Oreochromis niloticus: one gene and its partners. Each later gene encodes a partner of the first gene's protein in a complex. Links are inferred from orthologs where the notes say so. Each region holds a gene or a part of one and is shown on either strand. Other genes may lie near its edges.

Region 1 (10,176 bases):
ACTGATGGGGGAGAGGTGTGGGGGGGAGTCGTGCAACTCAAGATGGGTGAGTGGAAGAGAGATGCAGACGTGAGGAGGTGTGTTAAGTAGAAGTCCATATGTGTGGGTGTGTTTGTGCGTGTGTGCCTCCATGCACACAGAATATGAGTTATTAAATATATAAGGTTACCACAGCTGACCCATTTCCTACTTCCTCTCCTCTGCTCTCCACCCCCCAAACAACTCAAATAAACCATGTGCCACATGCCCAGCATCCCAAAGCTCAGGGGAAACCAAACACACCAAATATGTGTATCGGTGATTCTTATATTTCAGCCGCGCTCCGGGTTTCATTTACTGTGGTCGCCACAGAGCTAAAGCGGGGCTGGCATGGCATGCCATGAAGTTTCAGGGGAGACAAAAACAAGTCCTGGCTTTCTGTGGAGGGAAATCAGGGTGGAAAGGAACGGAGGGGCACGAGAGGTTGAAGGACGGGGTCGGCGAATTCCCCTAACAAGCACAGACACAAGTGCTGACCCCTCATCTGTGTCATCTTTGTTTGCCTGGGCCTGTGTGCATGATAGGAAGTCCAATTTTTTTTTAAAGACACAGAGGTGCATCCACAAGGGAAGATGAGAAGTGCACAGTCATCAGTAATTGTCATAGCTCAACAAGCCATGGGTCATGCCCTGCCTCTGTGAGCATTATTGTGAAGATACAGAGAGGGTGAATCCCCACATGCAGCTGCTGCAGCTGTTAAACTCCCTGATAAACACAGAGAAATGCCATGTTGGTGTACCAAGCTGTTAATTAACTGTGGGGATTCATCTGTTTCACACCACAGTTAATTGATAGCACACCTTTGGGGTCGTTTTTCTCTCTGTTGGTCAGACAAAGAAGCATCACTCTGGGCTCTGGCCCAGTGAGCTGTGGAATTGTTTTAATATCCTAACCGTCCAGATTATAAATCGATGCAAGGTGAAGGTAATCCATAAATCTACTGATTGATTAAAATTGCATCAGTTCTAATTGCTGCCTGATGTCTGGTGCTCGGGATCTGCAGCTGTCAGTCACGAAGCTGATCCAAGTTTTCCCGTCGTTATCCCGAGATAATGTAAAACATGTAGACCTATGTACCGACTTTATAGCTTCTTTTACCAGCCTGCTCCTTTTAAATTATTATTTTTTTATTTATATTATTTTAAACTACGGATTTCATGTGTATTTTCATTTATTTTGACGCGCCGTCCGTGTCTGAGTGTGAGGCAGCCAGCGGATCATCAGTCAGCCTGACAGGAGTGACATCCGGGCGGCGCGCCTCCCTCCCTCTCTCGGTGTCACCGGCGGGTCTTACCTTGGTGAGCTGAGCGATCTTCTTGCACATCTTGCTGTGCATTTGATAGTCGTACAGCTCCTGCTCGATGTTGGAGAACTCTGCCGCAGTCCCGTTAACGGCGGAGCCCGGCCCGGGGGCTGTGCAGCCTTACCGGCGCCTGAAGCCATAACGAAGCCCCCCAGGGGAACTTCCCAGCCCGGAGGATAGTCAGAAATGATCCCGCCGCCTCGCAGATGAAAATCCCCACCAGAAATCGTGTCAACTTTTTTACTCGCGCATCTCATTCCCCCGTCGGCACACCCTCTCCCGCGAACGGCATCTCGAGTAATCCGCTGCAAAACATTTGGGAGTAAATCGGCGGGGCTCTCCTCGTGCGTTCCCGTTGTTGCCCCCCTCTCCTGCTGTCCGCCCGGTGATCGCGGAGGTCACACGCTGGAAGTCCATCGGGGACGCGCTCGCGCCGACCGACCCTTTCCCTGTTGTCAACGGATTTTTTTCCTCCTTCTTAGTCTAACAGGGAGCGCTGGAGGATGAAGGCGTACAGTCCGACCACCTGTCTCGCGGCAGGGGCGGAGCGGGGCGTGCGTATCCTATGGAACATTACCGGAGACAGCTCGAGAGGCGCACTGCTGCAGTGCTGCCCCGCCCCTACCGGAGCTGCTGTATCAATGCCGATCAGCGCGCGGATGGGAGGTGGAGGAGGAGGAGGGGGTCTCTGGGGTCCAGTCGTGTGATTTTACTCCATCAGTCAGATAAAAGGGGAGCACTGAGGGCAGTGTCAGTTGCTGTGGACGAGCACACGATAACCCACATGCTTTGACTGTGGACTGATTTCATTGAAAAAAAAAACAGAACAACTACTAGCACTCACTATAAAAGGTGGATTAGCACAGATGAAGGAACTTCCCACACATTTATTTGTTTCTTAAACGCACTACTTTCCAAGTACACATGCACACCTCGTTGTCTCAAAGAAAACCCCTACTTAAGAGTGTGCAAGCAAATGAGAGCGCAGTGACTCACTATATGAGTGGACTCCATTTACTAAATATTCATTTCTCCACCTTAAAGGTGTAGCCTGCTCCAGAAATGTGTTGCTGCGGTTTTCATAGCGTTTGGTGGACTGACAGAGACAGGTTAAAAAAAAAAAAAATGCAGCAGAGTGTCAGGATGTAATGAGAGGATCCAAATGCAGGGGCATTAACAGGATTTTTTTTCAAGGGTTATAACCGACCAGAGGGGGCTCATGGGAAATCAGAATATGCTTTCAGAACTAAAAATCACTCGAAACTGGTTGAAAATCCAGTGAATTGTAATGATTTTAATGTGCACAAAGGTAACTACTGAGAAAAATACAGTGGACTCTTTTTTTTTTGCACAGTAAAGAAATTAAGGAAAGGTATGTGAGAGGATGTCCATCGTTCAAAACCAGGCTGTTAAACCAATAGATTTTACTGCATGTAATATGATTTAACATTATACAGATATACATTTACAGTGATGTGTTGACGGGGAGAAAACAGTTTTTCCGGTTGTTATTTATCTGCAATTTTTGTCTGTGATTGCATTGATATAATAGCACAATATGTTTGGAGGTGGGGATCAAATTTCAATGTGGTGGGTGCCTCACCCCTTCCCAAAGTGGGCAGGGCTATATATACACAGAGAAGACAGAATGAATGACAAAACACAGAGGTCCAAGGTGGAAAGGACGTGGAGAGAGCAGGCAGTCACAACGTAGGATAGATGCCATAATCTGAAGTGTCTAGTTTTTGTAATTGTGTTTATCTAAGGATAGATCATTTTTGGTCCTTGCATCCTTTTTATAAATGCGATGAATCTACAGATAAAGTTGAGCCTGTGAGGCACTTGAACATTATGGACCCAAGTGCTTGAGTTAACTATTGAACACGGTCTTTTAAGTTCAAATCTTCAGTTTCTAATGCAAGATTTTTGACTTCTTGGCCTTTAAGCTGATGCTGAAGTAAACCCTGATACGATAAGATCAACTCAAATGTGTGTGGTTATTCTGGAGAAGGGTGAGATATGATACGTGAGATAATATGGCAGTTTTTCAGATCGCCAGAAAACCTTTGGCTTTAGCTGTTTGCATAAAAAGTGTCACAAATAAGCAACAATAAAAATGAGAAAAATATGCAATTTAATTAAAGCATCCCTTCACAAAAAAAAAAGCAGTTTTCTCAAGGCGTTTTTATATTGTGAGGCAAAGACTACAATATTAGACGAACTCAACAAGCAGATGGTCCTCCTATGAGCACACCCTCGACAATGATGAGAAAAACATCTCCTTAATTAGAGACCTTCAGCAGAACCAGATTCAGGAAGAGGCAGAAATCTACCATTGCTGGTTTGTGGGTGAGCATAGAAAATCTCATTTTTGTTTCCTATTTCCACAGTGCCGGTGAATTATGGCACAAAGTGGACATGATATCAGACATTTATAAAGCCAACTTAACCATTATAACATCCCCCCTGTTTAGGCTGTTTGCATCAACCCTCTCACATCCAAGTGTTATTCAAGCACAGACATATACAAACATTTATGACAGAGCAGTTTGGTAGGATAATACCTGCTTTGGCCAGACCTTCTGTGCCACTTACGTTTTTCTGATCATTTTTTGGGACACAGTTTGACTCGCGCCATCTTGGGCCTAAATCTCTCTGTTTCTGAAACATTCCTCTTAAACATTTTTCTAAATGTGCCCCAGGAGAGTGTGTTGCTGTGCCACCTTTATAAATCCAGTTTTGATCTAATGACAGCCTAGTTTAGTTGAAACAAACTGATTATTGGGCCACATTCTTTGGTGGTTCACATTATGCATCATAATCTCAAACAAACATGAGAAACTAGGAGCAGGTAACCAAGCCTTTAAATATGTAGGCCTAAATGTGTTTATTACCTTGCAGTTAATACAGAGTTTGAATCTCAAACAATTTCTTGTCACCTTTGCAGTATTTACAGATGTACACAGGGGTTTTTTTCATCCCTCTGGCTTCTGATGCTGTAGCTGTGTGGTCTAATGCAGGGATAGTTTGTCCCTGTATTGTATAAATATTTAATATGATAATACACCTTCATGATAATCCCTGGCCTACATGCACACAGGTCTAAAGCAAACAGTCTGACAGAGTGCCATCTATATTAAATTAATTTCCAAAAATAGATGCCATAAAATAAGGAGCCCTCTCTGTCTGTGTAGAAGCACGTTTTTGCCCTCCTTATGGGTGAGCTGTCCCCTCCACAGCTGTCCAGCAGCTGTGGCCCTGGACACTGGCTGCACGATACTAATGACAAATATATTATACATATGAGTTAAATTATAAACATCAGTAAGTAGTTCAACAGAAATTCATCCATATGATTACCTAATGTATTTATATAGTTTTAAAGAGAATAGGTTTTCAGTCGAACTAATATGGTTGTTATAAAGTAAAAGAGATGCTTTCATAAAAGTTGTTAGTCACCTCAGTTAGTTCCTTGCAGGAAACCAAGCTAAATAAAAGTTTAAAAAAGGGTTAGGGTTAACAAAACAAACAAACACAAGAACTCAACTAATAATTATTGGTATATTGCCATTTTGAAGTATAAACATAATGCAGAGGAAATCAAAAATACCCTTAAATTACATTTTTGCATATCTACAAAATCTGTTAAATATTTCAAAACTGTGAAAAAAGCCATCAGTGTTGTCTCAGTGGGTTTGATCTATAGAATAAAACCTCCAAATATCTTCATCACACTATCTTTGAATATTTCCCCAGTAAAACATTAATATGACATCCAACATCATTCAGTTGCCATCTTATTTGCCAATGGGTTGATTTAATTCAACAAACTGATAATGATATTTGACTAACATATTAGGGATACATACGGGCATCCATAAGTCAAACTTTTAGGCTAGTATTTCAAAATTTAAATTTATTTACTCAGAATTTTGAATTAGAAAGCCGGACTGCATTTTTTAGATTTTTTATTTATTAATTATTATTATTTTTAGTGGCAGAAACAAGCTCTTTTTAATTTAAAAATTTGAGAAGCTTTTATAATGTTGTTTTCTCATTAAAACAATTATTCTAATATGGCAGTGACAAGAGGTCAAATATCCATTGTTCGATTATCAGATAAAATAAATAAATAAATAAATAACCTTTTTTGTCAGCTATATCCTCCACAGAATCGCTTACCCGCTTGGCATACACCAGTGACTGTAGAAACTACAGTCATTGGCATACACAGGGAAAAACCATACACGTGACGCACATACGTACGCAAACAACTCAGTTCTCGCGAGAGTAAAATTCAAAAACAGGCGGTTGTTCACTGAGAAGAAAACTAAGAGGTACGTTTTAAAGCTCACGCGTTAAGCTTTTGGCTTTAATACTACTTTTCATGTCTGATAATTATAAAACGCCTCTCTAGGGACTTCGTCGTGCGTGACTTAATTACGTTGCGTTGTTTATTTTCTCTGCTCTTGTTTCACTGGTAATTCTCTCGAGGTGGGTTTAGGAAGCTAATGAGACACCGGAGACCATCAGGCTGCTTCCTTTACTGCTAGCTAATAGAGACATTTCTGACAGCAGAGTTTACTCTAGGTAAGCCTGCTTCGGCTCATGGTATCACTATCTGTATTAGTTTAGGTTTCTGCGAAGGAAAGATGACAGCGGACAACGAAATAGACATCAAGGAGGCGTTTCAGCGCGCTCAGAAGGGCCACAATAACAAGGCAAAGCTGGTGGCGAGCCTCAAGAGCCGCTACAACAAGGTAGGAGATGATGCTTTCTTATCAGTCTCTTCCTACTTGTCTTTCACATTATCCTGGATTAATGAGTGCATTGTCATATCTTTAATGTGATAAAATAACTCAGTTTATACGAGAAAGTATAAATGCGCTGTCTTCTTAGATATGGAAGAAATACAGTAAAGTGAAATTAAAGCTTGTACACAGGTTTTCATTCTCCTTCGTCACATCTACGGGTACTCTCTATATATCCTCTTGCACTTCGTGCTTGAATCTCCTTTGAGGTCTTCCTCTTTTTCTCCTGTCTGGCAGGAGACAGGAGACTTGCTTAAGTTTCTGGAAGTTTAAAGTGCTTGGGGGCTGTTTGTATTAAACTATCGGACAGAAAGCACACTAATCTCAGATTAACTGAGATGTCTGGATTGTTAAATAAGTCTTTCAGATGACCTAGGTTCTTATTATTGATCTCATAAGCAAGGACCCTTCTTTCCTCTGTCTCGTCCCTCAGCTTGAGGATAAATCACTGTTCCACGAGGAGTTTGCGCACTACCTGAAGTATGCAATGATTGTCTACAAGCGTGAACCTGCAGTTGAAAACGTCATTGAGTTTGTTGCGAGGTTTGCTACAAGTTTCCAGTCTCCGCCTAAAACAAACGAGGGGAAGCAGCAGCAAGAGGAGGAGGAGGAGGAAGAAGAAGAAGATGATGATGATGCTGAGGACGATCATCCATTTCAGAGTTTCATCTTCAACTTTCTGTTGGAGGTATGAACATTATAATGCTAGTTTATGCCTGTGAGCACTGTTTTTTGGTGGTGTTAGTGAAGTGACCAGCAAATTCTTGACCTATTGATTTTGATTTGTTAAAAATTTCTCCTTTTTTTTTCTTTTTTTAAACAAGTCTGTTAACCACAAAAATTAAAACTTGTACATTTCTGATTTTGCTCTGACTTTTTGAACACAAAGGCTTTGAGGTGATTCTTGTCTATACTGCCTCTCAATCTTATTTTGTGGTTTCCCATATGACTTCTTTCTATTCCTTATGTATTCACATCTGTTTTTCCTCATACACTTGTCCTGATCCAATCTATGTTCACAATTACTCTCGTATCTCTGCCTTTTCCCTCCTAATCCGAGTTTTGTGCCTTCCTTTTTATCTCAGTCCCACAAAGCCAATAGTCATGCAGTACGTTTCAGAGTGTGTCAGCTGATCAACAAGTTGCTGGGCAGTATGGCTGAGAATGCACAGATTGACGACGATCTCTTTGATCGCATCCACCAAGCCATGCTGGTCCGTGTCACTGACAAATTCCCCAATGTGAGGATTCAGGCTGCTTTGGCCATGACCCGCCTTCAGCAGCCAACAGATCCAGACTGTCCAACCATCAATGGTTTGTTTTTTGTTTTGTTTTGTTCTTTTTTTTTTAAAATATTGAAATCTGTGACTTATTATCTAAAATTATGTGTTGAATCCCCAAAATCCTCTACATGGTCTTAAATTCTCAATCTTCTCTTGAATCTCACTTCTTAGAAAGTAATTATTGTCACGTTTTTTTTTATTTTTATTTTTTTTATTTGTTTGTTTTTGTATTTGTGTATCTTTGTTACTGTCACTAACTGCAGAATTATTTTCTCCTCTAGCGTTTATGTTGATTCTGGAAAACGATACTAATGCCGAGGTGCGACGTGCCGTTCTGTCCTGTATTGCAATGTCCCCTCGGACCCTCCCCAAAGTACTCAAACGCACTCGAGACATCAAAGAAAATGTCCGCAAGCTGGCGTACCAGGTACCTATGAATAGGGATGGGTATCGTTTAGGTTTTATCTGATACCAGTACCAAACCGGTACTTTTGAAACGGTGCCGGTGCTTAAACGGTGCTCGAACCGGTGCTTAAAGAATGGAGAACACAAAATTGGTCCAAAAACCTCTCATGTTCAGCTGTTTTTTTTGTAAAAAGATAACAATGTTAGCCTTTTCTGCATCTATAGGGCATATATGGTATCACTCTTGGCTGGAAGCAGTGCTTAAACAATGGAAAAAACACAAACTTTGTCCAAAAACCTCTCATGTTTAGCTGTTTCCCACTTTTTCTTTGGTCATTTTAGCGTTTTTGGCCAGGGTGAATGGAGTATCTGCCATCAAACAAGAAGAGAGCCGCATGTAACTACGACGGTGTTTGCTAGTTCACCTTACATGCATTAATGTAATAATGTGGTTAGCCTACTCAACGTAAATTACACACGAACAAGATTAAGCTACTCACACAGAGGAGAACGGCTGCTGCTGCCATCATCATCCGTCATCATTTCTGCTACACTGACAGGGCTAGGGGCCAGGACTCTACTCTTCGGGTTTTTGGGGGATGTTGCTAACTCCGGGTCCGATAACAGGCACCACACCCGCAGTAAATGTGCTCGGTGTGAGGTCTCGCAGCAAGCAATCAAATATGGCGCATTTCTCGGCTTTTAACAAAATGCTATACGTCGCCAGGTGTTTCATCAGATTTGAGGTGTTACCTCCTTTGACAGTATCACAGTATCAGCTTAAAGCACTTGTTGCAGGCTGCTGAGTTTGCATCTTTTGCTGTGAAGTACAGCCAGACTTTGACCGCTTCGCCTTGGGCGTTTTTAATCTGTAGCTCTGCTCTAAAAGAACGTACGTACCTGGGCCCGCCTACTATCCTCGGAAAGGTAAAATGATTGGCTAGAATCCAAAGTGTATGACATCTCAGGAAAAAAAAGCACCGAAATAAAGCACCGAAATGTGCGCTGCTTTTCGGTCTGGTTACTACCGTTTATGTCAGAACCGGTCCCATAATGGCACCGGATACCGGTACCCATCCCTACCTATGAATGTAAAAATATGTATCCACTGCAAGGGCTGGTTGATTACGGAGATTTGCACTAAAACTTCCATGTGTGTTTCTGTTTAAGGTTCTGGCTGACAAAGTTCACATTAAAGCTCTTAGCATTGCACAGAGAGTAAGCCTACTGCAGCAGGGCCTCCATGACACCTCAGGTAATACTGATTTTTGTGGTTAAATAATACTATTTTTATACAGATGCATTTATAACTTCAAAATTTGCACTTAAAGTAACGCAAAACCCCAATCAAAGCTGCTGCTAACTTTTTAATTAGTAATACACCAGTTATTTTTTTCTTCATTGTCAAAAATGTTTGTTTATACAGCAAAAAGCTCTTTGGAATAATGAGTGATCTAAAAGTTAAAGAGATTTCTTTACCAAATATAAAATGAAAAACACATTGGAGAAGTTGAGCCCTTTTTTACCCCTCGGCTTTAAAAGGCTGATTGGATATTGAACTTTGACATCCAAGTTTGTGAATTCGATAACTCGACAACGAAGCAACGCTTTCAAACTGATACCAGAAGTGTATCAATCTCAGGATTTGAATCTGTGACCTTGACCTTGAGGTCAGGCTTTCTGAAAATTTTGTGAAGGCAATAACTCGAGAAGGAAGTCGCCTTGAATTTTGAAATTGATAACATAAGTGATAATAAAAATCTCTGACGAGTTTAAATCTCAGTGATCTTGACCTCAAGGTCAGAGGTCAAGTTTTCTGAAAGTCTTGTAAATGTGATAACTTGAGAATAAAGTGCCGTAAGAGTTTCAACTTGATACCATAGGTGTATCTACTGGTGTGCTGATGGGTACCACTGGGCACCGCTAGTATTTTTGTTTATGTAGAGGAAAAAGTGTCAGAAATATCTGTTGATTGACAGGAATGGTTCTGCTGTATATGTGTCTGATAGCCTGTGTGGTTTTCAGAAGCGGTAAGGGAGGTGGTTTGTTCTCGTTTGTTACCGGCCTGGCTGCTTCGGCTGGATGGGAACATCATTGAACTGCTCCATAGGCTGGATGTGGAAAACTGTGCAGAAACGGCTCTGGAGACCCTGAAAGCGATCTTCAAAAACATCCTGACTGAAGAGCTGCTGCAGAACCGAGTAGAGCTCGACAACAGGTACTCTCACTTCTCCTTCTGTCTAACAAATAATAAATAAAATGTCTGAAGTTACAGATCATGATGTGTGTGTTTTTAACAGGAGGCTGATCCCAAAGGACAGTCTGACCTGTGAAA
Region 2 (10,511 bases), on another chromosome or scaffold:
CTTTATTATTACTTCATGAAATGTCCTGAAATAATAATGTAAACGTATAGGCTACAGTCCCACACACCAACACAAATACAGATATGATGATCAGATGATCCCTGATAACAACGAGACGGCCTACCTGAAGGAGATTAGGAATCTGGAGAACTGGTGCCAGAGGAACAACCTCCTTCTAAACGTCAGTAAGACAAAGGAGTTGATAGTGGACTTCAGCACTAAGCAGGAGAGGAACTACCAGACCCCCATCATCAACGAGTGCCCAGTGGAGAGAGTGGACAGCTTCAAATACCTCGGGGTTCACATCACGCAGGACCTGTCATGGTCCTGTCACATCAACACCGTGGTGAAAAAGGCCCGACAGCGCCTCTACCACCTCAGACGCTTGAGAGACTTCCAACTGCCCACCAAGGTGCTCAGGAACTTTTACTCCTGCACCATAGAGAGCATCCTGACGGGAAACATCTCAACCTGGTTCGGGAACAGCACCATTCAGGAAAGACGAGCTCTACAGAGGGTTGTGTGATCAGCTGAGCGCACCATCCACTCCGAGCTCCCTGCCCTGCACTCAATCTACAGCAGGCGGTGCTGGGCCAAGGCCAGGAAGATCGTGAAGGACCTCAGCCATCCCAAAAATGGACTGTTCTCTCTGTTGAGGTCAGGAAAGCGATTCCGCTCCCTGAAGACCAACACAGAGAGACTGAGGAGGAGCTTCTTTCCGCAGGCGATACGGTCTCTCAATCACACCACCACATAGTACTGACCCACACATATGGTTTTTACACACACACTGGACATTCTGCACATTTGTTTACATTTGTTTACATTTGCCATCTTGTTATTGATTAACAAGATCACTCTATCACAAGTCACTTAAATAAATCACTTTTAAGCATATTTGCACTGCACAAGACACTTAAATATGTGGGTTGCACAACCCTGGACATTACATTTCTTTCATTACCATTTATTACTCGTACAGCTGCTCTTATTGTTCTATATTTCTTCATATATTCTTCTATATTTTCTATATTGTGTATTTTGTTGTACAGTTATTTTATTTTTAACTTTAATTTTTATATTTTATTTTATTCTTTCCTAGTTAAATTTACTCTTCATTTTAATTTTCATATTTATTTCCTATCCTATTCATAGTCTTTTATTTTAGGTCACGAGCAGTTGTCTAAGCATTTCACTGCATATCGTACTGTGTATGACTGTGTATGTGACAAATAAAATTTGAATTTGAATTTTGAATTTGAATATAATGTTTCTTCTAGTATTAATGACCACAAACCCAGCAACACAAAGCAAAGCTAAACCAGCTCAAAGAGACTTTGAAGCGATTGTCACAGTGATTCTACTCTGAAAACACCAAAAGGTACAAACGGGAGCTACAAGCCGACTCATCACTGAAGATCAGGCTCTGCTCAGCACACACTCAGCTGTATCATCACGCTGGGTTCTTGGCTAGCTTGTTCGCAAAGAGCCAAACTTGCGTTAGCAGTATACATTGCTTCTGTCCTGAATGCAGTTTGAACTTTAAAATCACACTCTTGTGCTTTTGAGCAATAAAAACAAAAGTAATGTCCACATTTCTGCTTTTGACCACCCCAACACTTTTTTTCTCTTCCACACAAACTAGTGGTCTGTGGATCGATACTGAAATATCAATTCTTCCAGTACCAGATATTTATGTTCTAGAATCAAATCTCATCTTAAAATATCAATATTTTAGTAATTTGGGGTAAATTTGTAGTTTTTCATTAACAAGAACACAGTAGAAAGTACCTGTATTATTGGGACCATCTGAATGATTGGTAGGAACTACTTCTTCCGCCTGTCATAGTGAAATACCGCTGTATAAATGCATCATGGCTCACGTGTGCTCATTCACTCACTTGGTAAGGTCACAGAACTGTTAAACACAAACAAAAGTAAGTTATCACACAGAAAATGATGACGAGTTTATGATGAGGTGAACTGAAGAGGAGAGGGACAGGTGCTGCTAGGGTGATATCACTCCCAGATAAATGGATTATATATGCTAGGTGTCATTGAAATATACAGCATACTTACAGTAAAATAGCCTTGATAGACTTTAAAATATAAAAATACAACTTAAATATTTCATACATAAGACAGATAGATAATGACAGGCATCTATAAAACGTCTCAGCTGTATTATTATTTTCAGTCGGTCACATTTGTTTTGAGTGATTGTTAATTGAATATTTTCAAATGGTATTGACTTTTGGGTTTTTTTATTTTGTATATGGTAATTCTTCATAATCAAACAATAAGAACAAGTAGTCTGGTCACTTGTATTCATTGTAAAGGTATAATTTGAAATACACTACTTTTTATTTAGATTTTCCAAACACATTAGGTTTTTGTTTAAAGTATCAGTAGCCAATCAGTATCATTGATACTAGCCGGAATTTTACTGGGGATCAGATCAGAAAGGAACTCAGTGGTTATTGCACATCATTAACACAAACTGAAATCAGCTGATTGCAGCGCAAGTGCACAGAAAGAAAAAAGTGTGCTTGTGTGTTGTTGTTTTGTTTTGTTTTGTTTTTTCTTTCTATCCACCTCATGCAGAGAATTGACCAACTTTTCCAAATAACATCATAATTGTAACAGTAACATAACAACTGAATTTAGTGGATTAAATCATTACTGAAAAATGTACACATGCAGTATCAACACAATAAGCGTTCCAGCATTAGACAAACTCAAACAGAATTGATTCCAACATCCATCAGTGTTGTTTCCTGGGCTAAATCTGTTTGGCTACTCACTCCTTTATTACTCACTCCACTCACGCCTTTATTTAGCCCCAAATGATCAAGCTGTTTAAAACAGCAAATGCACTAAGGGCCTGCACAAAGGCCCAGTATATGATAAACAAAGCTTTTCGACTGGGAATCATGCAAAGCTACTTCAGCACAGTCCAATAATAACATCAAGCAAAAAACAGCAGAATTGATATGTGTCTGTCTGTGTCCTGGAGAATAAACATTGTACATGTTTTATTATTTGGTAGAGTCAGCCCTGGTCTTACAAGAATAAGATCTCTTATACTGAGGACACAAGTGTCTGTTCCTCATTTAAAGAGTGAACTTCATAACTATTAGACTTTGTTAGTTTATAGATATGAAAAATAAACCACCACCTCTAACGCTGAGTGACTATTTTGACTGAGAAAACATTCATATTAGGCCTCCTTCACTAACATTTCCATAGAGATTTTCTTAATTTGCACACTAAAAAGGTGTAGGTGCAAAATTATCATCTTCTTCAGGACACGTGCACAGCAACACCACAGTTTCCAGTCTGTTGGATCCCCTCCACCTCCACCCCTCCCTTCAGGAGGAACGCGCTAAAATTGCTGCAATAGAGAAGCCTAGCCACTGATGCAAAAATGCAAAAGAATTTTATGACTAGAGAAGCTGAAACCTTACTGTCCAAGGTGGAAGTCAAAATATGCATAATGTGTAACATGTAAAATAAAGTGTAAATATCAATCTGCTTGTATACCTTCATACTGAAGTTGTAAATCCAAGAACAATGAAAGGCCATCAAATTCAAAATTTGGAATAAATTTAGCTAATGCATTAGTTAGTTACTTAATTAGATTAGTTATAACATTGTTTTCTGTTATGACCTTAAATTGAATTCACTTTTAAAATGGAAAGCATTTACTTTAAATATCCGTTTACATTTTCCAGGACAGTTGGGCTGTTATTTTTGTGTACACAACTCTCTGAGGACACTCTTATTTGGTCAGATTCTCCAATTGGGGAGCCATCTGTGTGCTAAAACTTATGCATTTATGCTTAAATTCTTTTGTGACTCAAGCTTCTTTCTCTTGCCTTACAGACACACTCACTACTGGTGCAATCAAAGATGTTCACTGCATGGGCAGAGGGTACATCTCCAAGGAGTTAAGATAATACTCTGATCAACCCTGTCAAACATCACTGAAAGGCATTTTTTCTGACTGTGTCAAGCTTACTCATGGAAACTGGAATGAACTGGCTAATGTTTAACTTTGAATTTTTCCCATAGGTCTTTTGCAGAAGGTCTCTATAGACAAAAACAAAATGGGAAAAATTGAGCAGGGTTAGTGTCACACTAATAAAGGAATGTAACTGGCATTTCTCATTTGAATGAGAATATTCATTTAGAGGAAATCCTATGGGATTGTGTCACAGTTATTACTTACCTAATTATTACTTCCCTGAAAACTGATATTTAAAATTCTGGAAGTAGTTTAACAAAATTTTGACTTTCTTATATCAATTCTGAATCCATTCACCGTTCAACTTACCAGCAACACAATCTTGATTGTCACTGCCATCTAGTGAGTAGCCAATGCACTGCCATTATTCTCAGCCAGTCTAATGAAGCAAAGCCGCTGCTTCATGTCATTAGAAAGATTCCTTTTGCTTTAGTTTTTATTTCAGTCAATAATTATAAGAGAAATAGCTATTAATGAAATGTACTGTGCAACTTGCATGCTGCTTTTCAGTCTTTACTTTAGTAGCTGAATGTCAGTTGATGTTGTTAGAGTTGCGGCTGTGGCTGTCAAACAATATCTATCAAGTGTCTATTAAGTGATAGAAGTAAAAAGAAAATGGTTCCGAGCAAAGTGCTCCATCCTGTCATGCTAAAAAATGAAAGTGACAGCATGTGTGCTCTCTTAGCTGTGCAGGAATTTTGATGAAACATGGAGAAATGGTGTTTTGCTTTAGTGTGATGTGAATATCAATATATGTTTACTGAGTCACAGCTGCTTAACTTCGAGACCCTAGCCTCACATGTCATGCTTGATCTGTGATTATTACAGCAAACACTGTTTCAGTATGTCTTCACATACAAAATACACTCAGTCAGTACCAGTTATTCCTCTTATTAAGGAGCAGACCACTTAAACATTAAAGGATTTACTGACTCACTCGTCAATGATCATGGTAGTCAAAAGATCATTGCATAAGGAAGACATGGTGGGGGATGCTATTATGGTATTGAAAATGAAAAAAAAAACCTGATTATCTGTCATAAAAACTGATGAACACTTACTTTTTCGTGATGTAATGTTTTTATTAAACAATATCATAAAATAAACAATTCAACGAAAACTACTTTATGTTAATATTAAAGAAGAATTATTATAAACAATTATTATAATTATTAAAAAGAAGAAGAATCATTGAGTTTTATCTCAAGATCACTGTTTTCATAGTTTCCTTGGGGGTCATTAAACTACTCTGAATCTGATTTTCACTTTCTCTCGCTGTGGTGGGCGTGGTTAGCGTCATGACGTAGGTTGCTGCTACGTAAACCGTTCGGCGCAAAAATTCAAACGCTAGACAGGAAGAAATTTCCTGCTTGTTCTTTCTGTCATATTACAACTTATAACGGGTCTACATAAGTCTCCGTCGGATTTAAGGCAATTCTTGGTATGTTTTGGGGCTGAAGCAAGTCTTGTGATAAAGTTTTTATTTGTTAGTAAGCCTGCTAACGCTAACTGTAAGAACACGTTCATACCGAAGTTAGGGTTGTTATGCTAAAATGCATGTAAAGTTAGCTTAGTTAGCGTGAGCATGTAAGTGCGTTTGGGCAGTACATGTGCTTCTTACGTGATTATTTTACTAAACTAGCTTACCAAATATGTTGTGCTAAGATGGCGTTTGCTTTCTGAAAACTTACTTTAGTTGAATGTATATAACCTTTTCACTGGTTTAATACTTTATTGTAGAGTTCCTTTGTTTATGTGCGAGTAGCGTTCAAGCTAAGCTGATGGAAATCCACATTGAAGTCAATGGATATGAGTCTACAAAAGGAAGGATTCGCAGACTGTGCTGTGCTATACTAATAAATGATGAACCCTTAAAGTAAACAACGTTGTTTCGGTAGCAAACAGGCAAGATTGATGCGAACTTAACCCTAGCATATCATACTTGCATAACCAGAGCCAACATTAAGAGTTTGTCTTGTCTTTTTTCTCCCAATTTCTTTGCCATCATGAGACCACATTCTCTCTCCTTATTCTCATTAGTAATTTTTAAACTTGGCTTAAACTTTGTTTTCCTTTGTAAGTTCCAAACAGCTGTAACAACACAAGCACAGCACTTTGTAAAAACAGCTGATTCACAGTTATGTTAGCATCAAATATATGCCTCATCCCGTGGGTTGTATTGACAGATTTCACCACCGATATCCATTGAGTTACTTTTAATATTTTTCCTAAATTCTAGATTTTATTTGAGTTGCCTGCAACAAATAGTTAACTGAGCCAAGTTAACTTTCTCTCCTGCTTCAAATTGATATGTGTACGGTACATTCAGAGCGCTGAATTCTGCTCTTTAAGCACTATTTCTTTCCAACCCCCTGTTCAGTCCAAACTTCTTTTCCTATCTCCAGCAAAGATGAGCGGAGCCTCCACACCCGTCTCCCGAGTACAACCAGGATGGATGTCATCCTCTTTGAAGAATAAGGGTCTGTCCCCTGCAGGCAGCAGCACTCCACTGCTGTCAGCTTTCCCTGGAAACGATGATGAGCAGGAGCGACGTCAGCGTAGGAGGTCAAGAGTCATTGACCTTCAAGCTGCAAGTGACTCCTCCTTCAATGACTCTGCATCTCACAGGTATGCTGTAGATAATGGCAAGACTAAAAGTAATTTGTAAAAACATTTTGTGCCATGGCTTTGACAAACAGTACCTGTCTGCTTGGCTGCTATGTATCATGAGAGCTCAAAGACAATCTCATTGTCCTAATCAGCACTGTGGGAACTCCTGCTGCTGTGCCCAAGTTGTCAAATGCACAGATCTCAGAGCATTACTCCACCTGCATAAAACTCTCCACTGAAAATGTAAGTATTTGTATGTGTATGCATTTTCCTCTTTTCCCTTTACAGTAAATGTCCTTTGTCTTTCTCTGTGATTGGTAAATGAAAAAATATGGCGAAATACGGGGCAAATAAATGAATTAAGTACTTTTTTATTCTTATCGACAGAAAATCACCACCAAAAATGCATTTGGTCTGCATTTGATTGATTACATGGCTGATATTCTCAAACAAAAGGATTCAGAGCTCACCAACTTCAAGGTATGTGTAACTGATTCTTTCATTCATCATTTTGGTTCTCTAAAAGTCTTTGAACTGATTTAAACATTTGAATGAAACATCATGATAAATAGTCAAAGGAGTTCGCAAAGAAAAGCGTCTGGACTTCTTTAAGTTGCTTGAAGACGTTTCACCTCTCATCCGAGAAGCTTCTTCAGTTCTAAGGTCAAATGGCCGAGAGTCCCAGATTTAAACCCATTTGACCTTAGAACTGAAGAAGCTTCTCGGATGAGAGGTGAAACGTCTTCAAGCAACTTAAAGAAGTCCAGACGCTTTTCTTTGCAAACTCCTTTGACTACGATGACCTGGATGACTGAGAATCTTCACAGACATCATGATAAATAATTTTCTGGTTGTTGGAGAACATAGAAATGTTGTTTGGGTTTTTTTTAAAGTGTGTTTAAAATATCAGGAGAATATATTTCTTGGACTCAGCACCCACCTGACTTGTTTAAGTTAGGCGGGTGCTAACACCAGTTTGATTTTAATTCAGGGAAGCAGAATTTATACAAAATTAAGGCTGCATTCTGTCCAGTGTGATCTCTCATCTCACAAGCACCACTCATTCTGAGAAAGTGCAGGATTCTGTATTAATCTAGAGTATTTATTATTTAGTTTTGCAAGCAGTATCCTTCAATATTTACATCTTTTCATCCTAAAGGTGGCAGCTGGCACTCTGGATGCCAGTACGAAAATCTACGCTGTGAGGGTGGATGCTGTTCATGCTGATGCCTACAGAGTGCTGGGTGGTCTGGGTGCTGAAACCAAACCTGGAGAGGGTGAGAGTCTCTGTATTGTCGTTGGATTTTCTTTTAACCATACTTGTGCTATGGCTTGAGCTTTCTGGCTTTTTCTAACACAGTTTTAAAGTTGTTGAACCCACCTTCCTGTACTATTGAAGATTTTCTGCTTTTTTTGAATTCTTTATGCATACACAGGCCATGGTGCAACAGAGGAAGATGGAGATGATGCAGGACTTGCAGGAGGTGAAGTCACTGCCAAGCAGCCAAAGAAGAAAAGGCCTCCCAAGAAGACAGTAGAGCAGAACCTGAGCAACATCAACAGTGCTGAGTCTGAGAGGAGATGTGAGGTATGTAGAGGTCTTAGCAAAGTAACTAAAATAGTGCACACCTCAGTTCTTTTTTTTTTTTTTTACTTTTTGAAATAACAGAAGTATCGTTCAGGGCTTCGGGACCACTATGCCAATGACTAATCATGGGAAATATTCCTGCTTATTGCTTATGTCATGCAGCAATAAGCAATAATAGAATATAGCTATCAATGTATAGATCCAGGAATTCAGTATTTGGGTTAAATAAGAATGAATTGAAAACAACCTTTGTTTACACTGTTGTTCTGCAAGATCTCGGCTCATGCACATAAATGAACAACACTAAAAACATTCAGAGGTTGATTGTTTTGTTTTCCTTTCACTGTTTGGATTTTGGGTCAAATCGTTCTGTTTTGTAGCCAACAGACTCAGCTATGTTGTTATCTTTTACCACCAGAATAGAAGATGCAACTCCCTCGAGATGCAGTACACACCCTCACTCCATTAAAATAGGTGGAATGCTTTAAACTGATATATATAATATAGAAACAACAAAGACCCAGAGAGAGGTAGATCTCTATTTTTATGCCAAATGTAATTATCATCACTACACAAACAGTGCTGTAATCTAAGTAAGCAGTACTTGATTCTAACCAAGTAAATTATACTAGTTTCTTCACTTAAGGTAATGTAGCTGTAGATTTATGTGATGGGTTTTGAACATGAGCTGAAAGTATATTCATTAGGCTTGGGCTATTTATGAGCTTAGATTTTTGTTAATTATTTAATTAATTAAATCCTTATTGATATGAACATGCTTCAGCTGTGATTATATTACATGAGAAAAAGTTAGTGTGGAGGAGAATCAGTAAAAAAAGAACAAACAAAAAAAACAGCCTTCTGTTTTATTTCCTGTACAGAAACCCACTGTTCGACATGACAAGATGAAAAATACAAATTTATGAATACTGCTTACTATTTTTGGTGTTGTTATATATTTAGCAGTCAAATTAAGAACGATCTTACTGTTTAGAACTAAAAAAAAAAGGGTGGCACAGTCGCCGTACCAAATTTCTATATTCACTTATGTACAGAGGTCTCTTTACTAAATGTTAAACAACTTCAGCATCACTGCTAGAGTTGATGTTGGATTACTATCATGGATTACAGCCTTCAATCAGCTTAAATCCAATGATGATTGATAAGTTTGTTTGATTTAGATCAATAGTTAAATTAGATGTTGTCTTAGAAGACACCTCGAGTGATTTTTATTTATTTATTTATTTTTTCATTACTATCACAGCATCACTTTGCCATAGTAATAAGCTTAAATGCCTCTTTTAGTTGATATCAAGGTAGGTTGTGTTTATGATAAACTTTCTGTCTTCCCCACAAAGGTGGACCCCATGTTTCAGCGGATGGCCTCATCCTTTGATGAGAGCAGCACAGCTGGAGTCTTCCTGTCAGTTCTGTTCAGTGAGAGCAGTCGCTGCGAGCTGCTCTTTCCATCCCACATGACCCTCCTGCAGTCCAGACCCGCCTACTCTCCTCCACCTCCACAGGGGGTCCCAGCATCCCCATTCATGGGTAAAAGTCTTTCACTAAGCCCAATAAATTCATTTACACTTGGACGTTAAATATTGTGCCGCTAGTTGGATGTTCATATGAACCCTTAGCACTGTATCACTGTCATCCTTCGGTTTCTCCCAGAAATGAAAACTTGTCTTTCTGTAACATGTCACTGGCAGCCGGACTGCAGCGTTCCCAGGAGAAAAGCTCCATCTGCCCCTCACTGCAGGACTTCTCGTTCACTAGCTGGAATCCGGAGCAGGTAAGAGAAAACGGATCAAGTGCTTATTTCTATCAGTTGTTTCTGAATACTAGTTGTAATATGATTAGGTTATGGAATTTCCATCCTGCTGATCTGATTTAATCCTTTGTTAAGCTGACCCCTTTTTTTGTTCAGTTTATCACTCTTTTAGTTGAAGCATAAAGGAAATCCTATTTTACTACAGCTCAAGTGTGAGCAACCATTTTTGCTTGAAAAGTGAAAGTCCTTAGAAATGTAAAGTCCTGCAGGTTTGAATTTAATATCGTATGCATGTTCTTTCAGACCATGAATCAGCTCTTAGAGAAGATGAAGCAGGGCGAGCATGTGTTTGACGTGAACAATGAGCCAGAGCCAGAGCCAGAGGAAGATGACTGCCCTGACTTTGATGGTGACTATGAGGAGGGAGTGGGTGACTGTGAGGATGGATCAAAGGAACACAAGGAAGGTTGTGAGCCCTCTGGCTCTGGCAAAAGAAGGTAAGATTGAGGATTGCA
Region 3 (10,429 bases), on another chromosome or scaffold:
CCATCATTGAACTGAAAAACCTAAAAAAAAATCTATTCGACAAATAGAAAAAAATTAAATACTGGACAAATCAACAATCTGTTATTTTCTTAAAAAAAAAAAAAAAGGCAATGCACTGGCCAGCTCAGCTACACCAACAGTATGAAAGACTACAGAAGACAACTAAAGGAAAAGATTTAAAATTCTTTCATTTGTTAAAAATGCAAATAAACAAAAAAACTCGTCCTTCATAATAAGTTCAACTTCAAGTCAACAATATTCTCAAAATTTAGCCATATCATTGTCAAGGTCTACAATCATGAGAAGTTTTTATAAATGTAAATACAGAGGGTTTACAACAAAGTATAAACTGCTGGTTACACTCAAAAACAAGAAGCCTAAATAAGACTGCTGGAAAACATCTAAAAAAGTTCTGTGAAATATTTTTGGACAGATGAAACCAAAATCAACATTTACCAGACTGATGGACCTAGTCAAGTACAGAGAAGGAGAGAAACCGCTTATGATCCAAAACGTACCATATTATTTGTCAAACATGGTGGAGGCAGTGTTATAGCATTGGCATGTATGGCTGGTAGTGGAATTGTGCCTCTAGTGTTTATAGATCATGCGACTGCTGAAAGAAGTACCGCAATGAGGTGTTAAGTGTGCAGGGATGTAGTGTCTGTTCAGATAAAACAAAATTACCCAAAACTAATTAGACAGCGCTTTGCAGTGCAAAGGGAAAATGACCTGAAACAAACTGCAAAAGGTACCCAAGAGTTTCTAAAGGCAACGAAACAGGATATTCTTCAGTGGCCAAGTTTGACACCTGATCTAAGCTCAACAGAGCATACTTGACCCACAGAGTGACCCAAAAACAAGCAGGACTGAAGATGGCAGTACTAAAGGTCTGCAGTGCATCTCAAGGGAAGAAACGGCATTTAGTAATGTCCATGCTCTCTAAACTCATTCACAAGTTGATTGATTGATTTGGAATCCACTGTGATGGTGCATGGAGCCAAAATGGCAAAAAAAAAGTGCCAATGCCCAAAACCATATGGAACTAACTGTATAGTGTTGCTTTTTTCCTCCAGCAAATCAGGTTTTTCCCAGATGCAAATAGTGTTATTAATTATCATCTGTTATTCAGGTAAAAATCTGATTGAGATTAAAGTCTTTTTTCAAGTGAGGCCGGGCCAATTCAGACACATCAGGAAAAGTTGGGCATTTTGTTAACTATAGAAATTTTACAGGTGCAACTGTTTTCCTGATCAGTTTGATCTGCGTTTTGCTTTGCTAATTAACATTTTAGCGCTTAAATAATAAATGAAAAGTGTGCAGTTTTGCACATGCACTAGATACACATTTGCAGCTCCGCTTCAGTGAAATTAAGGTTTTAAGCCTTACCTTGGCTGGCTAGTGTTGAGCGTAGCATCCCACTTTTTGACCAGATTTTAATCTGCCCATCTTCTCCCGCTAATTAGAAAAACAACCAGAATAGACCTTAAAGACAGCTTGATTAGATTCTCATTTTGATTTAAAAAGGAAAAAAGGCTGATTAGATGAGTAGTTGTCAGATAACAGAGGAAATGAGTCCTAGTCATCTTTACCAGTGATAAGAGCAGTCCCATCATAGTTCCATCTTCCAGCCAAAACAGCTCCTTTGTGCGCCTCAACACTCTTCTCAATGCGACCCATCTTTGAGGTTAAGTGGAACTTTCCTGCAACAAATTTACAAAAAAACCCCACATAGATGGTGTAAAGCCATTCCACACACTAGGCCTGGGGTGATGTTGGTGTTTTCAGTTGTTTATAACTCAAATACAGAACTGAGCATTGTAATTCACTCAGTAAAGTTTCATAAATCTGTGGAATTCTAGTTACTGTGTAATAGAAAACAAGTTTTAATGGCCAAGACAAAATAGTAAAAATATATAAATAAATACGTATTTTAATCAAAACACACAATAACTACCAATGCATCTCCTAACACACAAATACAGACAAATTTATATTCTCTCCAATCAAGTAAATTACAAACTTCTGGTTTGAAGCAAATGAGTGAAACTAAAAAGGCCTCTGTTGGGTGAATTAGGGCAATTTTCTATGCGGTAGACACGAAAGGGTGATCAGCCATGGAGAGTTATTGAAGACCGTAGCCTACCATATACTTTGTGGCAGTGTGTATTAAAAATTCTGAATGTTCTATGTAATTTCTGGTGACCTAAAACTGCAAATCAGCATGCTGCAGTGCTCTCTCATTTCTAAATTTGGACATCCCAACAAAAGTAGATGTAACTGATCCAGCAGGTAGTCAGTTTAACAGGCATGTACAGCTGAGTGACTCTCTTAAATGAAAAGCACATTAGAAAGCCACATTCTACATAGGAAATGCTTAATTGTTTGTTTGCCTCTTATCTGGAAAGCCTCATTTTTTGATTTCTTATAAAAAATAAAATAAATAGTGATAATAATAATAATAACAATCGACCCTTTTAGTTTAGCTTTTCATTATATTTGGTCCTTTGAGAAATTCCTGGCAGCGCATCTAGACTTCCAAACAAAGTCTGAGAATATTCATCACACTTAATCGTACCCTCCTTGTGTCAAATCTGTCATACAATATAATTTCCAGCAAATGCCACGTATGAGCTATGCAATTCTGTGCCTTAACAGTGTGAACATATTGGGGATTCCAAAATAATGAAGTACGCTTATTAAGTAAATTTACAATATCAAGCTTAATAGGAATGAAATATTATACGAACTCCAATACCATGTGTGCTTGTAATTTAAAACGCTGAAACTGCTTAGCATCATACATTTAAAAAAAAAAAAAAAAAAAAAAAATCACAAATAAACTTGTAAAAGGGAAAGAAGGCCAACTAATCAAAAAAGGTTAGGAAATCCCAAAGATATAAAGTCTTCAAAACTAATAAAACCCAGGTGGACTGTTTTCTCTTCAAGTATGTCATACAATCTAATAGGAAATCCAACAAAGAATCCAGATTAAAAACTTTAATCTGGAGCAAAAGAAAGCTTTCAGTGTTTCAGTTAACAGTGAAGTCAAAATAAATGAATAAAACTCTGTTTCTATTCCCATTGCAGAACCAATAACTTTTGCAATACTAATATTTTTAACCGTAACAAGACAAGAAGCAGAGGAAAGTTGCAAAATGGATCGTAACACTTTTCACTAGTCTCTGCTCTGCCAGAGAAAATTGCTGCTTCAGTTTGTGGGTGTGTTTATGCAACCCTACACTGCCATTAGTGTTGTGACCACACATTGCCTTGCCATAACAGTACATCCATATTCTGTGTGTTGCATCTAACGCAGGCCAAAGAAGAGACATGTACGACAGATTCATGTCACACAAATAGTATCAACCAAGGGGTCGGTATTAGAAATCTACAAAACAAAAATTGAGTTTTAGACACAGATTTATACTGAATACATAAAAAGAAGAATTCAAATGGACTCTACTGGATCCTACAAGTATCAAATTGGTAGCGATTATTTCCCTTAAATATAAATAACTCTTGAATTGTGCCTATGTCTTCTAAAAAAATAAATAATCAAAAATTAAGGAAGACATTGCCATCCTGTAGATAGCCAAGTCTGTTACTTTATTTAATTTATTTATTTCATGAGAATGTCTTTAACTAATAAATGTATAGATATGACCAAAAAACGGCCACTCATTTTATGAATGAACTCTGAAATAAACCCTTTAACATTCGGGTCAAATTTCAGAGAATACAGAGACTTGCCATCTGTGCTGGTAAGAACAAAGATTTCAGCCTGGGCCTGTTTCTTCACACCAACAGTTTTGGGGAACCAGTGTAGGTCAGTAGGGTAAATTTCCTCTGGCAGTTTGACAATCAGACTGGTCTCACTGGTCAGCAGGTTCCACTTGAGAATCTGATGATCCTCACTGCACGAGTACAGCTCATCTGCTGTGGTCCAGCCAACGCAGCTCACAAGTTCTTTATGTGATCAGCTGTTAAGGAGTTATTAGTAATGAACTGATTCTAAAACCCTTTTTTGTGGTAACCTCTGCAATAAATTGGGTTTTCTGAAAAATGGACAGAGGTTAGAGCAACACAAGGATGGAAAATACTATCACTGCCTCAAATAGCACCACTAATAATTACGATTAAAAGTTCTGGAATTCTGTCACAGAATTACATGTGTTACATAATTACAAAAAGGATATGTTTGGATTCCTTTAGGAGCGACGTTTTCAGTCTCATGGTGGATGTTCGTTCTGTTGATCACTAAACGAACAGAAAAATGTCAGAGACAGTAACGTACCTGTTATGTTAAAGCTCTCTATATAACACTGTTGTCAAACCAACACAAAAAATAATAGTACAGAAGACCTGAAGCATGGGTGTATACAGCTTACCCGTAAACTATGTAAAGCAGCCGTTTGCACTCTCCGTTAGCTGTAACGATGAAACAAACAAGCGTCCGCTGTTGCTACGGTACCTGCTACTGTTGCTAACGGAAGTCCTCAGCTATCCCCTGAGTCTCGTCTGTGACTTGAATGCTAACGTTAACTTGTTCTCTTGGTTAAAATGGACATCGTTTTCTCGTTGCCGAGTGTACTAAGCGACTCTCAGCAAAACGTGCGTGTCATTTACTCTACTATGAAGCGCTATTAGAATACGCAAAAGTCTTATCTATCACCAATCAGCAATTTATGCCCCAACGTGTAAAACCTGCACTTTGGTAGCCATTTAATCTGGGTCATAAACAGCTTGAAAAACAAATTATCGCGAGAGTTGCATCTCAACTTCCTTGACAACGGAAATTTCGAAATATTTCTAAGTTCAAAAACGACATCTGTTAAATAAATGCATTTATGCAAGTCGTTAGAATCGGGATCAACCAACACTAACAGTTGATCTATCGAGCTATATTTCCTCAAGTATAGACATTGCCCGGGGCAGGTCCTTTATCGTACCACAGACAACCGTTTGAAGACGTAGGAACAACATTAGGCATTTAATAAGAATAAACTTGAATAATATGAACAATTTGCTGTAAACGCATTGCATGGCTCTTATTCCTTTTCGTTTGTTCTTTAGAGTCGTGTGAATGCGGTTTGTTTGGAGTGAGGCGGAGTTGGCTTCGTCCCCTTTTTTGAATTTCGTTTCCCCCCCCCTGCCCTTTGAACGTTCCATGGTGCCTTGCGTCAGTTTGTAACGAATTTGGTTCGACAGCGAGGTTTAGGCGCCATTTACAAGTTTGAGTTATCAACTAAGGAGAGCGAGTCGGAGTGACACGGGAGTAAATTTTTTGGATTATATTTGCCAAACTTTGGATTGACGATTATTTTTTGCGTAATAGCGACTGTGGTCTGAAAGGAAGACTCTTGACAGATCGTGGTTATAGTGTGGAAGGTACATGGAAGTATTTTAGGGGAATGTAACGACTGGGTTCCATCTACTTGCTGAAATGTATTACGTTTGAAGAGGGACTTAACAGTAACGGCAAGTTAAACTAAGGTTTAACGTTAGCTTCTGATTGAAAGCGAGCGGACCATTATTACACATACTAACAGAAATAATGAGACCTAATCACTTTTCGTCTTAACTTATATTAAACCCACAGTGACACTCACTCTTAATAGTGACATTTCCGACTCGTTTAAGTAATGCTCGCGTTGCTAATAGCTCATAACCGGCGGGCTCTAATGTATTTACTCGTTTAACTTTAATACTAGGGTTAATAACTCCTTTCATTTCAGATAACACGTTGACGTTGGATAGGTTTTGCGTTTCATTTATGCCGACACTCCATTTGACTTTATAGAGCCCAGCAACTCATACCTTTTTATAGTTTAAGTTAGCCATTATGTTAGCTTTAGCGTCGCAGCGATATTTCACTTCATATAGTTAGCCAATCAGTTAGCAGCAGTAGTAGTAGTATAGCTAACTTAACGGTAACGTTAGCAAGTAAAAACAGCGTGGCAGGGTTTGCGCTGCCATTGCCAAGTTACTTATTTGGCAAACGTGAATGTAATTATAACGTTATGCTAACACGGGTAAAGTTGCATTAGTTGTTTGAATGTGCGTACCAATTACCTAGCGAGTTAGGTTGGCTCGTCTACGCCTCCGCCCCAGCAAAAACGTTGTGGGGATGAAAGTTAATATTAGTGTCGGTTTGAAACCTCGATCAATTTAGGACGTTGGGTCTTCACCACCAACTTCAGCCAAACTTCAGCCACATTAGCAGTGGCAGTGTAACGCAGGCTAGGCTAAGAGAGCTAAGGGGGAAAATAATTAGGCTATTTGCACATTAACTGAGTCGTTTTTCACTTGCTGTGACGTTAACCTTATTTTTGCTGCGTTATTTACCGCCTAGGTTCGCGAGGCAAAATAAAATGCATGATATAGATGCAGATGCCTACTACAATTATTCTGTGAAAGGATGAGATTATTATTTTAATATAGGTTATTTTAAAGAAAAATGATGCTTGATTTTAAACTTGAAATAGCTTATGATTCTGTGCAGTCATCGGATTGGTGCTATCTCATTTTAACGTTTTCAGCACGAGTAACTCGTGTAATGCTGGACTCATTGTTGTAACAGCAATGTTAAGATATGCAAAGTATACCGATTAACAGTTAGCTGGGCGTCAATAGGATCTGACTGTGGTAATGATTAGAGCCTGACAGAGAAGCTGCGTGTAACCGACTAAAAGTGGAGTTGAGAGATTGACAGGCACAAAAACCACTCATGGATATTCCCTTTTTACCAATGACCCCTTCAGATTTCAAGTCATGCCATCTAAAACTGCAAAGAGCTCAACTGCCTCCGCCAAGCCAAGAGGGAAAGGGTCGCAGTCTGACTCCGAAGACGAGCTAGATGTACCCCCTCAAGAAACCAACTCCAATGGCCAAGAGGAGGCACCGCCGAAAACTGGCAAGTAACAAAGGGTGTTTTGGTGTCTGTGAATCTAAATAAGTTGTTCAGTCAAAGCCTTTGCGTGTATTGCTGTATTGGTAGGGGCCAATTGGCACAGCTGTAAAGCTTTTTTTTCCCCTTCTTGCTTAAACAACACGGAGTTAGAATGGCTGATATATTTTTCACTAAAGTGCCAGTCATCAATAAAATGATTTTGGAGATGATTTTGATAACGCCGAGTGTACTTCTTCCCCGGATCTTCTCAGCAGACGAGGTAATTTATTTCGAAAAATGAGGTGCTTTGTGTAGTAGATCAGAGCGGTGTTTGACTTAATTCTTGTAAGCTTGATATTCACTGATTTCTATGCGAACCTTATAAGATGCACATAAGCAGTGGGTAATGTCTGTATTTTGTAGAATATGTTGAAATGCTTCACTGGGTGTCTGGCTGCGAGGTTTTAATTGACAAACATCGACATCTTTGCTTGTTTATGCTTATGTGAGCACAATAGATTTTGGACAGGTCGTTGTGGCTTGGTGTGATGGCAACATAATCGTTTCTGCGTTACACATTATTATCACAAAACACCCGTTTTCCTGTTTCTGTTTGAGCACAGACAGGCATGAGTGAAAATGTGACGCTGATGGCTGAGATTTCCACTTTAGTTATTTGTCATCGACAATGTGGCGCATCTGAGTACGTAGAGAGCGTTTGGATTATAATGTGGGTTCGTTCATAAGCGGCCATGGTCTCTTTTCTTTTTTGGGGTTGGCTCTTGTTTGCAGAACAAAGAAAAATAACGCCTGTCAACTTTTCTTTCTGGAGTCGTACTTTGACTGCTCTTGTAACTTGGTGCGTGTGTTTTGTTTGTTTTTGTTTTTTTGTGTGTGTGTGTGCGCGAGTATGCTTCTCTACCCCTCCCCCACGTACAACTGCCCCCCCCCCCACCTGAAACGACTCGAACAGAAGAATAAAAGTTGTACTTTTTGTGTGCCACAGATTCGTCTCACGGGGAAGCTACCGAGACCGTTGATAATAGAAGTTTGGAGGAGATTGTCGGTAGCATCCCTCCACCTCCGCCCCCAGCAATGACCAATGAACCGGGCGCCCCTCGCCTGATGATAACACATTTAGTTAATCGAAACTTTAAATCATATGCAGGCGAGCAGATTCTGGGGCCTTTTCACAAGGTACGACCAAACATGGTTACACATGTAATCCCTGCCTGGGAAATACTCTTCTGATGTGTCACAGATTTAACATCACTTGTTGTGTATCCCACTCTTAATTTAATTTTTTTTCTGTTTAATTTCATATGATATAAACTCATAGATTTTTGCCTCGTGTAGTAGAAAACAGAACATGTCACAGAATAATTTATCCTGCTATATTTTAGCATCATTGCCTTAAATAAAATCAAAGTGGAAAAAGTCAGACTCCTCCATTTTGATTTAGTGAGTCTATCTCACAAGAGGTAGTGATCTAGTGGGGTGCTCACTTCTCTTGAAAATTGTGAGTTTCTGTAAACTTTGTCTTCATACCTTTTTCTGTTTCTTTTGTTACTAAATAATTTCTCTATGTTAAAAACAACTTTAACTTACACTCACATGGAATACATTCAAATTTGCAGTCTTGCTGAAGTAAAATGTTACTGTTTAACTCTACAGGATAGACTCTGTTTTTACATTATTGATTTTATTTTATTTTTTTCTATTTTCTCTACCTTTTTCTTAGCGCTTTTCCTGCATCATTGGTCCAAATGGAAGTGGGAAGTCCAATGTGATAGACTCAATGCTCTTTGTGTTTGGATACAGAGCTCAAAAGATCAGATCGAAAAAGCTCTCAGTGCTGATTCACAGCTCTGATCAACACAAAGATGTGCAAAGCTGTACTGTGGAGGTGCACTTTCAAAAGATTATTGATAAGGTATATATATCTATCTCTGTCACACAGATGCATGCTGCACTCACTCTGAATTAATAAATGGGTAGCCCAAATGCAGAAAGATAAGAAGAAATATTTTCTGAAGTATAGTGGTGTTTGTTGAATTAAAAAAAATATATATTTTTTGTTCTCTGTATAATATTGCTGCATAGTGATCACAACAGTGACTAAACAAAGACTCAAATCAGTCATGAAAGTTACAGCTAACACCCACACATGTCATAGTCAGTTCATATTGTGCTAGAGTTGATCCCTCTATTTTTAAATATATATATATTTTTTTTAAATTGCAGTTCAGTAATTAGCCTCTACTCATTTGACTGTACTGTGAAAAGTCAACAAAGTGGCTTTTGTATTGAGAGAGAACTTCAGTTGGGTGGCTAAGATGACAGATTACACTGAAAATCGACTGAACTGTAGTTCAAAGAATTAAACACGTTTCTATATTTGATCTGCCACAGGGGGTGTGAGAAAGTGTTTTGCCTTGTGTACTCATAAATGTGTCTGAGCCTTTCTCTTTGCTTCATTAGCTCAAAGTAAATTCAAATCAAGTTGTTAAACTGATGGTCAAATTTTGTGTGCTATATCAGCTTTAAACTATTATTTCTAAAACAAAAACAAAAAATCAGAAGTAGTATAAACAACTTAAAGTTTTAGACTTGCTTCTAAAAGTACTTAATTTTCTGTTTTATGCTGTATTTTCACTGTCATTATTTTATCTAATAAACTGTTTTAATTCTCTTCATATGTTGCACTCCATACACTCCAGTATGTATAGGGTGTATTTGCATGTTACTCTGGCTAGCTTTATATACTTTTTAAAGAAGCCTTTTTTTCTTATTTTGTTTTTAATATAGTGTGCTTTTTTGCCCTAGCCATCCTAATGTATTTGTTAGTGTTATAAATGTTATAAATATTGCAATTTGCTGTGTGGAGCTGTTTGAATTTCTTCTTAACTGCTCTCTTCTAAGCTGCTCTCTGTCCTCTGCCCCTCCCCCCTCAGCAAGGAGATGACTACGAAGTCATCCCCAACAGCAAGTTCTATGTTTCCAGGACTGCCAACAAAGATAATTCCTCAGCCTACCATATCAATGGCAAGAAAGCCACATTCAAAGAAGTGGGTGCCTTACTGCGAAGCCACGGTATTGACCTAGACCACAACAGATTTCTGATCTTACAGGTAATTTTTTTATGCAATTTCCTCTTCCAGTTCTAGCTTTGCTTTTTGTTTTTTGTTTTAGTTTAGTTTTTTTTCCCTTTTTTTTTTCCCCCTGCTGTGACCATCCCATTTTGTAAGATTTCCTGCTCTCTGTTCTCTATCCATGTCTTAGTCCACTTTGAGTCAAAGTGTTTCATATAACTTAACCATGACTGTCTTTGGGAATAACCTGTTGCACTGGATTTGGAAAATAGATGTGCCCTCTGCCAGCCCTTAGACTACTATAGCAGCGCATCATGGTTTGAAACAATGTGGAAAAGGTGCGAACCATAATTTGCTGCTTTAGGATTTTAAGGAATAGATACAGTTTTATCCACACTTGGACCGGCACGTGAGTGGCTGTAGTTGGATAAGTCACTAAGATTTT

The links. Proteins that work in one complex are often made in the same cells at the same time.
Region 2: the proteins of ncapg (region 1) and ncaph are in contact, whole or in part, in a crystal structure (PDB 6IGX), measured with the Homo sapiens proteins. The link is inferred for Oreochromis niloticus from reciprocal best matches to the Homo sapiens genes NCAPG and NCAPH. Residues at the interface, in NP_071741.2 of Homo sapiens: Lys11, Phe14, Arg15, Gln18, His50, Tyr51, Lys53, Tyr54, Val55, Met56, Val57, Glu62, Ala64, Val65, Val68, Phe102, Ser106, Glu108, Ala109, Asn110, Ser111, Val114, Arg115, Ile149, Arg150, Lys152, Asp153, Lys154, Arg159, Glu188; in NP_056156.2 of Homo sapiens: Glu471, Ile472, Asp473, Phe474, Glu475, Asp476, Asp477, Ile478, Phe480, Val482, Tyr483, Phe484, Arg485, Lys486, Thr487, Ala489, Ala490, Thr491, Ile492, Leu493, Gln501, Asn502, Trp503, Ala505, Thr506, Thr507, Leu508, Phe512, Tyr514, Val516.
Region 3: ncapg (region 1) and smc4 share a complex: the UniProt entries of both Homo sapiens proteins name them as parts of the condensin complex. The link is inferred for Oreochromis niloticus from reciprocal best matches to the Homo sapiens genes NCAPG and SMC4.

What each region holds. Positions count from the first base shown.
Region 1 is NC_031971.2:21,718,167-21,728,342, forward strand, and holds the start of ncapg (condensin complex subunit 3), read left to right. Parts: upstream 1-5,573; 5' UTR 5,574-5,679; intron 5,680-5,710; exon of another isoform or gene 5,711-5,836; intron 5,837-5,972; 5' UTR 5,973-5,994; coding exon 5,995-6,102; intron 6,103-6,586; coding exon 6,587-6,841; intron 6,842-7,238; coding exon 7,239-7,467; intron 7,468-7,717; coding exon 7,718-7,863; intron 7,864-9,011; coding exon 9,012-9,096; intron 9,097-9,866; coding exon 9,867-10,059; intron 10,060-10,141; coding exon 10,142-10,176. Other genes in the region: protein FAM184B, read right to left, coding at 1,334-1,375. UniProt on the Homo sapiens protein: Regulatory subunit of the condensin complex, a complex required for conversion of interphase chromatin into mitotic-like condense chromosomes.
Region 2 is NC_031977.2:6,091,270-6,101,780, forward strand, and holds the start of ncaph (condensin complex subunit 2), read left to right. Parts: upstream 1-5,317; 5' UTR 5,318-5,468; exon of another isoform or gene 5,469-5,538; intron 5,539-6,432; 5' UTR 6,433-6,437; coding exon 6,438-6,655; intron 6,656-6,789; coding exon 6,790-6,880; intron 6,881-7,024; coding exon 7,025-7,117; intron 7,118-7,796; coding exon 7,797-7,914; intron 7,915-8,073; coding exon 8,074-8,225; intron 8,226-9,583; coding exon 9,584-9,773; intron 9,774-9,934; coding exon 9,935-10,017; intron 10,018-10,299; coding exon 10,300-10,493; intron 10,494-10,511. UniProt on the Homo sapiens protein: Regulatory subunit of the condensin complex, a complex required for conversion of interphase chromatin into mitotic-like condense chromosomes.
Region 3 is NC_031979.2:23,947,422-23,957,850, reverse strand, and holds the start of smc4 (structural maintenance of chromosomes protein 4), read left to right. Parts: upstream 1-5,235; 5' UTR 5,236-5,391; intron 5,392-5,458; exon of another isoform or gene 5,459-5,481; intron 5,482-6,075; exon of another isoform or gene 6,076-6,755; intron 6,756-6,764; 5' UTR 6,765-6,774; coding exon 6,775-6,916; intron 6,917-7,054; exon of another isoform or gene 7,055-7,172; intron 7,173-7,898; coding exon 7,899-8,089; intron 8,090-8,633; coding exon 8,634-8,825; intron 8,826-9,846; coding exon 9,847-10,023; intron 10,024-10,429. Other genes in the region: ift80 (intraflagellar transport protein 80 homolog), read right to left, coding at 1,390-1,458, 1,593-1,703, 3,754-3,975, 4,200-4,236. UniProt on the Homo sapiens protein: Central component of the condensin complex, a complex required for conversion of interphase chromatin into mitotic-like condense chromosomes.